Linked DNA regions of Arabidopsis thaliana. The protein of the gene in region 1 interacts with the protein of each later gene in a biochemical or structural test. Each region holds a gene or a part of one and is shown on either strand. Other genes may lie near its edges. The genes, in order: WDR5a and BZIP28.

Region 1 (4,752 bases):
TAGTGGTCTTGTTAGTTGTTAGTGATTTGTTTAGTCTATAATAAATACTAAAGAGATGTTATTGGTTCCTAAAGAAATTTTCATGACCTTAATAATATTATAAAAAGTAAATAAATGAAAGATTAATTTAAACTATTGCTAGAAAGTTGTTTAATTCTTATTGATTATTTTCTCACAATTTTGTAAAATTTTCCAAATAATATCATTATTTTGATGATACTTTCATGACTTTATTTTAAGAAGAAAAATATAGAAAGTTATATACTAATAACACAATAATTTAATTTATTAAACAATCATTGATTCTTTTGTTTTAATTGAATAACACAAAACTTTTAATGACTTTATAAAAGTATGAATCCAATAACTCCAAATTTATGAAGATTTTAAATTTTTTTTTACAAATTTTAAACTAATAGTACCAAACTTTAACAAACTTTTAAAAATATTAATTTGATAACAACAAATTTTACATAATATTTTAAGTTAATAAAACTCAAATTAAATCACAAACCAATAACACTCCCAAAATATCAATTTAACGTCACAAGTACAAGATTGAAACTCATTAAATATGTATGATGTATCCTACTATATTATTTGGGAAGTACATTTTAAATGTAACCTTAATTTTTGTAATTAATTACATGACAATGCCATTAGAAAAATTTAATCAAAAACAAAATCTTTTAATAACACATTAAGATTACCAAAATCATTTAACGACAATATTCATCTCTTAATTATAGGCTTATTGGATTTAAAGACGGGTCATCAAAGATTTTCTAACTAAAGCAAAATATACTGAATATTCAAATATCTATCTATTACCAAATTATAAACAATTAAGTTCGTAAAACAATTTAATATTTTATATACGAAATAAAGTAAATCTTAATCACATAAAAATTAGCACAAAAAAAAATATGGTACATTCAGGTCTATAGTATTTTTGCAAGACTTTTTTGGTGGATTTGGGTAAAAGTGCATTCGGGTCATATGGTACATTCACCTATTAAATAAATATGGTATACTCCTATGTTATTAGCTAAAATGTTTAGATTATAATTCAGAGTCATATCATAAATAAAATTACTATTAATAAAATAAATGGCTTTTTGGCAAGACGGATTTGGAGGGACGGGTTTTTGAATCAACATTAATAAAAAAAGTAAAATATAATTAATCCACCATTTCAATACGGGTTAAATCTTTAATTTATTATTTTTTAAGACCACTAATATTAAACATATCAAATCATCCTAATTTAGAAAAAATTATATAAAACCAAAAATGTTATGTGGTATGTATAATGTTACTATATATAAACTTAAACTATAAAATATAAATGTATTAGAGAATGATACAATTTGCAAAACTTTTATATAGAATAAATAATTCTTAAATTTTAAAAATTACTACTTTAAAAAAAAATCACGGAACGGGTAAAGAAATTACATAACGGGTTTTATTTTGGAATTGGGTTATATGGTGGATGTATTTGAATTAATATTTATAAAATTTTAAAATATTATTAATATGTTGTTTTAATAGGGGTTAAAACTTCAGTTTTTTAACAATTGTCTCATGGATTCGTGGTATAGTGTTACTTAATAACAATTATAAACTGTAAAATATAAATATTTTATAAAAATAAAATTTGCAAATTTTAATATATATTACTTTTAAAAAATAAATCATCCCCTGGTATACCGAGGGTTAAAATCTAGTCCATGATTGTTACGGCATACCAAACTTACATGATAACTAAAGAGTCTTAGGTTAAAACTGTGGTAGTCAATATATGAAGAGTGTTGTTGATTTAATTTGCGAAGCAAGAAAGAACTAAAATTTTAAGACATTCCAAAAGACTCTGTATCATTCTGAAGGTTTGAGCTTGGAAAGCGAGCACGTGAGTCGCTCGTGAAACTATATAATTTACGAAAACTCTAAATACACCCCAATAGTATTATTTCATTCAAAACACACCCCACAATTTATTTAAAAGAGTCGGGGTTTTTCCAAGAACACTGGATCGTCGTCTCTCTCCTTTAGTTAGACAAAGCCTCCTTTCCCAAAACCCTAAAATCAGCCAAATTCAAATTCCGCTAACCAATTTCCATGGCAGAGGAAATTCCAGCAACAGCATCATTCACTCCATACGTCCATTCACAAACTCTAACATCTCACAATCGCGCCGTCTCCTCCGTGAAATTCTCCTCCGATGGACGTCTCCTCGCATCCGCCTCCGCCGACAAAACAATCCGCACTTACACAATCAACACCATTAACGATCCAATCGCCGAGCCCGTACAAGAATTCACCGGCCATGAAAACGGTATCTCCGATGTTGCATTCTCTTCAGACGCGAGGTTTATAGTCTCAGCTTCCGATGACAAAACCTTAAAGCTATGGGACGTTGAAACTGGTTCATTGATCAAGACGCTTATTGGACACACTAATTACGCCTTCTGTGTCAATTTCAATCCTCAATCAAATATGATTGTATCTGGTTCGTTTGATGAAACTGTTCGGATCTGGGATGTCACTACTGGAAAGTGTTTGAAAGTTCTTCCCGCGCATTCTGATCCTGTTACTGCTGTTGATTTTAATAGAGATGGGTCTCTCATTGTTTCGAGTAGCTATGATGGGTTGTGTCGTATATGGGATTCTGGGACTGGTCATTGTGTGAAAACTCTGATTGATGATGAGAATCCTCCTGTTTCGTTTGTTAGATTCTCTCCTAATGGCAAGTTTATCCTCGTTGGTACACTTGATAACACGCTGGTGAGTTCACTTGTTGAATTCCTTTCAAAGATTTGATGTTTTTAGTGTGATTACTAGTTTTGCTCTATAGTGATCTCGAAAAAAAGCATGAAGATTTTGGGTAGAGTGTGTTAGTAGAAGTTTGATGTAGGAGAAGCCAATTCAAAACTAAGTTTACAGAGAAGTTGTTAGCTTTAAGTATAGTTCTGTTGTTGGTTGATATTCAAGAGTTTCGAAGGGTCGTATCTAGAGGGTTGTAGCTTCGAAGATACATCGTCGTTTGGAGTTTGATTAATTTGCATTAGGAAATTAAATTCTTATGATTCGTTATTAATGCACTCATCTCTCCATGAACTTAGATTCTAGGTTGTGTGTTAATAGAAGTTTGATGTAGGAGAAGCCAATCCAAAGCTATTTTTGCAAAAATTGTTATCTAGTTAAGGAAAAGTTGATAGCTTTGGAACAGTTCTGTTATTGATCGAGATTCAACACTTTTGAAGGGTCGTATTTAGAGGGTTGTAAGATACATCTTCTTTTGGTGTTTGCGTCTATAGGGTATTGTTGAATAAAGGAATTCTCATGATTCGTTATAAATTTGCAGAGGTTGTGGAACATTTCGTCTGCTAAGTTCCTCAAAACATACACTGGCCACGTGAACGCACAGTATTGCATTTCCTCTGCGTTCTCCGTCACAAATGGAAAGCGAATAGTCAGTGGATCCGAGGACAACTGTGTACACATGTGGGAGCTAAACTCCAAGAAACTGCTACAGAAACTTGAGGGTCATACTGAGACCGTCATGAACGTAGCATGCCACCCGACAGAGAACTTGATCGCATCAGGCTCGCTCGACAAGACAGTAAGGATTTGGACACAGAAGAAAGAATAAATCATCACTCTCTCTCTTCAGAAATCAAACATGTAGGTACATGCCACCTTCTTCATGCAGTAATCATCTGTTGCTTACTAAGCTTGTTAGATTGATTCTAGCCTCATTATGTAAAAGTCTAATTTTTGTTTGGTGTAAGGGAAGTGCAACAGACTGTTCTAAACTTGTAATAGTTCTCTGTGTGACTCAGAACTATTTAGGTAGGTCTTAAGGCAAAGACTCCTGCAAGTGCAAAGGCATTTGAGAGAATGAACACAAATCTTCATAGGTTTACCCTTTACTCATTGTATCTATTAAGCTGATGCAATGCTTCACCAATACTATTGGTTATAAAGTAGTTTCAGGATTGAAAATTGTTCATCTGAACCATATTGATGGGTGGCTCATGGGTCAAAGTACAGATATATGACTATAAGTAGATAATGTATGGTAGTTGGTTACTTTGGTTGGCCATGATGATGAAGCTTATGGTCCCCTGGTCCTGTCCCATTTTTTACTTTTCATTTTCACTTTTATCGTAAAGTCTTCTTTTTTTTAAACCCTACAAGATTTTGAAATGGACCACTTGAAAATTTGAACCCACTCTCTCTTTTTTTGTTTTCAATTTCGAAACCAAAATTTTTTAACAAAAAGATGACTTTGTGACCTTTGTTCTGTCTTTTAGCTACACACCAGTGGGCTGTTTGCTTTTACAGCGTGTCTTTCTGTTTACATGATTCAAGAGAAAGCAACAGTTCCTAAAGACTCAGTCATGTTTGTGTCTCTCCCAATTGATACAAAGACCAAAATTCAGCTTTGGTTCTTTTGTGTAAAAGTTCTCGAGATATGCTAATAAGATTAAACATAAAAACTCTCAAAAAGAGTATAAATTGAATTCTTTATGATTGTAGTAGCAAACAATAATTGTTAGGTTTAGTGCTATCATAATAATCTATTAGTCAGGTTAAATATATTCGATTTGGTACCAAATACGAAATCAAGCTTCAACAAACGAATCTGCAATACACACACACCCATCCAAAAGTATATCTTCGACATTTTCCCCAAAAAAGTATACATTTCCTAACACGTGCTTACCAATTCTTATCATTCGAAGT
Region 2 (4,946 bases), about 15 Mb from region 1:
TAAATCTCGTTTATCTAAACCTGTCCACACGTTGACAACGGTTTATCATCAAATCTCCAAACCTCTAAAAACATTGGGGGTTCGGAGTTAAAAAAAAAGCAAGAAAAAAGAGAGATAGTGAGCGTAAGTGAAAACAGCCATGGAAGAGGTAAAGGGGAAAAGAACCATCAGTAACACTTGGAAACTTGTTACAAGGTCCCAAACTGACCCCTTTGAAGGAATGCCTCTGCATCTGAAAGAGAAGATTCTCATGAAATTGAAGGCCAAAATCATATCGACGTTCATCCTCCTTTCCAAGTCCTGGTCATCGATAGTCCTTAACAAAGATTTCACCAACATGTATTTGATAATAAAGTTCTTTGAATCTTTGAATCGACCACGTCTTCTTTTGGCAGTCGACGATCGAGAAATAAATATGCAGTTCTTCCACTCTTGCTCTCGAGAGGATCCATCTTCTGATCATCAAACGGTTGGCTGTTACCCTGATTCGTATCCGCGTATCTGGTATGACTTTTCTCCACCTGTTCGTGGCTTGATCTGCTGTCTAAACAATTCTACTAAAGTGGTAATTGGAAATCCTACTACTTGTCAATTTGAAACTTTACCGAGAGTCAGAACCAAAATATACCAAGAAATATTTCCCTTCTTTGGATACGATCATGTTAAGGATGAATACAAAGTCTTGTGCATGACGATATCGGATGAGTACTATAGTAGATCAGGAAATATTGTGTCCAAGGAGCATAAAGTTTTCACTCTAGGATGTAAACAGAAGAAATGGAGAATGATCGAATGTACGATTAATCATTATCTTACTCCTGGAACTCAAGGAATATTTAGCAATGGGGTTATCTATTACTTCGCTAGGGTCAATGATGATCAGTCGCTAATGTGCTTTGTTGTGGGGTCTGAAAAGTTTAGTGTCGTTGAGTTACCGAGGCCGGCCGTCGAAGTTCTAGCGAACTACGGCGAAAAGATAGCTGTAACGAATTTGTTATATGCTAGTAATGATAGACTTTTTGTATGGATTCTAGAAGATGCCAGCAAACAAGAATGGTCAAACTTTTGTGTCTTGGTTCCTTCTTGGGTAGATATATAGATTTCGACCATTCAGCTTCACGGGTATACTTGGAACCGGCGAGCTTATATTTACACCGGGCTTAAAGCGTGGCCCCTTCTATTTACTGTGTTACGATCTCAAGGAACACACAGCTAGAAAAATCTGCTTCAAAAGAATTGGTTATTATACTTCTTTGAAAGTCTTTTTGGATCATGTAGAGAATCCTATGGTTCTGCCAAAGATAAGGCAATCGGTTGGTGATGAGTTCTTTGGTGTTGCATGAACTAATCTCTCTTCTTTCTTTTCTTATTTTTCAAGTTTCAATTAAGTGGTCGGATATTATTTGTTTAAGACTAGTTCTTATTGGATTTGATGGTCACCCATTGGTTAGTCTTTTGATCAATGGATATTTATGTCTGTGGAATATTGTAATGCAATGTTTTTTTTCTCAACATCTTTGGAATGCAATGTTTATGACTTAACAAGAAAAATGTTTATGACTTGATTATAATAATCTCTGGTTTTGTGCGGAGCTTATACAGCTTCGGTTTTCTTCTTATTTGATTTCTTTTGGGGAGAACAAAGAGTTTTGTGTTTGGCTAGATGGATCTTTATCATCATTTTGGTCGCCTTTTGAATTTTATTTCATAAAGAAATCTTATGTATAAGAAAATAAAACTAATATCGATTCTGAAATAGCAAAAATACCTCAATATTTTCACTAAATCATAAAACGAACTACATTCATCATACAACACATTGTAACATTTCACCATTAATTTCTTAACCCAAGCAACAAGCCAATAAGTAGATAGTTTTTGTTTGACTAAACATACACACGTGTTCGGAGTTTGATGTACACGCGCTGACTGCGCGTGGATGTAATATAATCTTAATTCTTAAGTATATTCGTCGACGTTGCCTTGTTCCAAAGTTATAAACCGTGTGGAACCATCGAGAAGCGAAGCCAGAATAAATTTTCGAATCCTCCGACGATGACGGAATCAACATCCGTGGTTGCTCCTCCGCCGGAGATACCTAATCTGAACCCTAGCATGTTTTCTGAGTCCGATTTGTTTTCTATTCCGCCGCTAGATCCTCTTTTCCTATCTGATTCTGATCCGATTTCAATGGATGCGCCAATCTCCGATCTCGACTTCTTACTCGACGATGAGAACGGAGATTTCGCTGATTTTGATTTCTCGTTTGATAATTCTGATGATTTCTTCGATTTCGATTTATCGGAGCCCGCGGTGGTGATCCCTGAGGAGATCGGTAACAATCGTTCGAATTTGGACTCATCGGAAAACAGAAGCGGCGATGGAGGTTTAGAAGGAAGATCTGAGTCTGTTCATTCACAGGTTTCATCTCAAGGCTCCAAGACTTTTGTGTCCGACACCGTTGACGCATCATCCTCCCCTGAATCAAGCAATCACCAGAAATCTTCTGTTAGCAAGAGGAAGAAGGAAAATGGAGACTCCAGTGGCGAATTAAGGAGCTGCAAGTACCAAAAGTCCGATGATAAATCAGTCGCTACGAACAACGAAGGTGATGATGACGACGACAAGAGGAAGTTGATAAGGCAGATTAGGAACCGTGAAAGTGCTCAGCTTTCGAGGTTGAGGAAGAAGCAACAAACTGAGGAGCTTGAAAGAAAAGTGAAGAGTATGAATGCTACCATTGCTGAATTGAATGGTAAGATTGCTTATGTTATGGCTGAGAATGTCGCTTTAAGGCAACAAATGGCTGTTGCTTCTGGTGCTCCTCCTATGAATCCTTATATGGCTGCCCCGCCTTTACCGTATCAATGGATGCCGTATCCGCCGTATCCTGTTAGGGGATATGGATCACAGACACCTTTGGTTCCCATTCCTAAGTTAAATCCTAAGCCTGTCTCGAGTTGTAGACCGAAGAAGGCAGAGAGTAAGAAGAATGAGGGTAAAAGTAAGCTCAAGAAGGTTGCTAGTATTAGTTTTATTGGAATTCTCTTCTTTGTCTTCTTGTTTGGTACATTGGTTCCTTTTATGAATGTAAATTTTGGAGGAGAACGTGGAAGCTTTGGCGGTTTGTCTAAATATGATGGCCACCGGTATTACGATGAACATAAGGGGAGGGTTTTAATGGTCGGCGATGGTTCTGATGTTAGAAGAAATAGTGGAATTTCTGAAGGAAATATCCATTCTAGTAGGATTAGTCATGGTGAGAGAGATAGTTGTGGAGGAGTAGATTATAATGCTCATCCGAAAGTAGAAGGACGACCAAGTTCGTTGAGCAATGCCAGTGATCCTCTCTTTGCTTCTCTCTATGTCCCAAGAAACGATGGGCTTGTGAAGATCGATGGGAACTTGATAATTCACTCTGTTTTGGCGAGCGAGAAAGCAAGGGGTTTAGGAAAGAAGAATATCACTGAAACAGTAAAAACTAAAGAACCGGATTTGACCATTCCTGGTGCACTGTCTTCTGCATTAGCTGTTCCGGGGGTAAGAGGAAATGCAGCAATGCTTCCGCATTCAACAGCTCTCTCTTCTGAAGGGAAAAGACTTCACCAATGGTTTCATGAAGGTGGCTCAGGTAATTCTTGTTCTCTATGTAGTTTCTACTAAATGGAGTGATCTGGATTTTCAACTCTACATTGCATTCTCTTGCAGGGCCACTAATGGATTACAGCATGTGCACCGAGGTTTTCCAGTTTGATATTGCTCCTGGTGCTATAGTCCCGTCATCAGTCTCCAGCATTTCTGCGGAGCATCTCCAAAATGTCACTACCCACGGCAAGAGAATGAAGAACAGGAGAATCCTTGAGGGACTTCCTGTTTCACTTGTGGCGTCAGAGCTCAATATCACCGGAACCCAGCCAAACAAAGACGCTCAAAATAAGACCTTTAATGGAAACACTAACAAACCCACATCATCATCCTCCATGGTTGTCTCAGTGTTACTTGATCCAAGAGAGGTCGTTGACTCTGAAACCGACAGAGTGGTTCCCCCAAACCCAAAATCACTTTCCCGGATCTTTGTGGTGGTGCTTCTTGACAGTGTCAAGTACGTTACCTACTCATGCGTTCTTCCTCGATCGGGTCTCCATCTCGTAGCCACCTGATTTGAGCTACTCAGATCTTGACCTTAAGTAGGCGAACATTGACTTGTTTATACATACAGACCTTGTTGACTTTTTTTCCCTGTGTTGTATAACTCTTATGTTCTAAGGTTTTGGATTTTAATTTTGAGATAAGCATAAAGTGGAATCCTTGTTTTAAAGGCATTTCCAATAGCTTTAGGCTGTATAATACATCCGATGGTTGCAGAACTTTTCTAATTTAGAAGATATAATATACAAAAGAAGCTCTTAGAGCATATATATTCAATTGGGACTTAAGTAGAAGGCTGCACCCTTTTGTGCAGCATCATTCTATAACAACTCTTCCGGTTCTGTATCTAGTTTCCATATGAATTCATTTTATACATTTAAAAGTTTTGAGTACTCTGTCGATACAGTTTACTAGACATGTTAATGTCGTTATTCATGAAGCCAGGCCACTATCAGCATGAGAAGGACAATCCATGGCATAGCTGGTAAAACCTCAATCGCTGCTGCCAAACACAGAAAGAAGAAGGCATTTGATTAGAATTGGGAGTCTATGATTTGATATATCTTTGCTAAATTGGAAGACTTTAAGTAGCAACTTACATGAAGAGGACTGCGGTTGAGGATGAGCAACTTCGTTTGCATGTGGTTCCCGTGGTTCCGTTATGGGTGGTTGAGCTGCATGGGCAAACACCACATGTGGTAGAGGGGCAGAGATTGGAACTATATGAGACTTGGCTGCAGAAATTGGGGCCGGTGAGTGCAGCTGATGATGTGGTGCCCCAGCAGAAGGAGCAGGCG

What was found.
Region 2: the proteins of WDR5a (region 1) and BZIP28 form a complex in vitro, tested with the Arabidopsis thaliana proteins (one study listed by BioGRID).

What each region holds. Positions count from the first base shown.
Region 1 is NC_003074.8:18,411,569-18,416,320, forward strand, and holds WDR5a (Transducin/WD40 repeat-like superfamily protein), read left to right. Parts: upstream 1-1,995; 5' UTR 1,996-2,121; coding exon 2,122-2,787; intron 2,788-3,367; coding exon 3,368-3,655; 3' UTR 3,656-4,145; downstream 4,146-4,752. UniProt on the Arabidopsis thaliana protein: Forms multiple COMPASS-like complexes involved in histone methylation by interacting with different histone H3 'Lys-4' methyltransferases such as ATX1, SDG14 or SDG16.
Region 2 is NC_003074.8:3,377,271-3,382,216, forward strand, and holds BZIP28 (Basic-leucine zipper (bZIP) transcription factor family protein), read left to right. Parts: upstream 1-1,897; 5' UTR 1,898-2,055; coding exon 2,056-3,631; intron 3,632-3,708; coding exon 3,709-4,160; 3' UTR 4,161-4,351; downstream 4,352-4,946. Other genes in the region: AT3G10790 (F-box associated ubiquitination effector family protein), read left to right, coding at 140-1,099; AT3G10810 (zinc finger (C3HC4-type RING finger) family protein), read right to left, coding at 4,578-4,651, 4,749-4,946.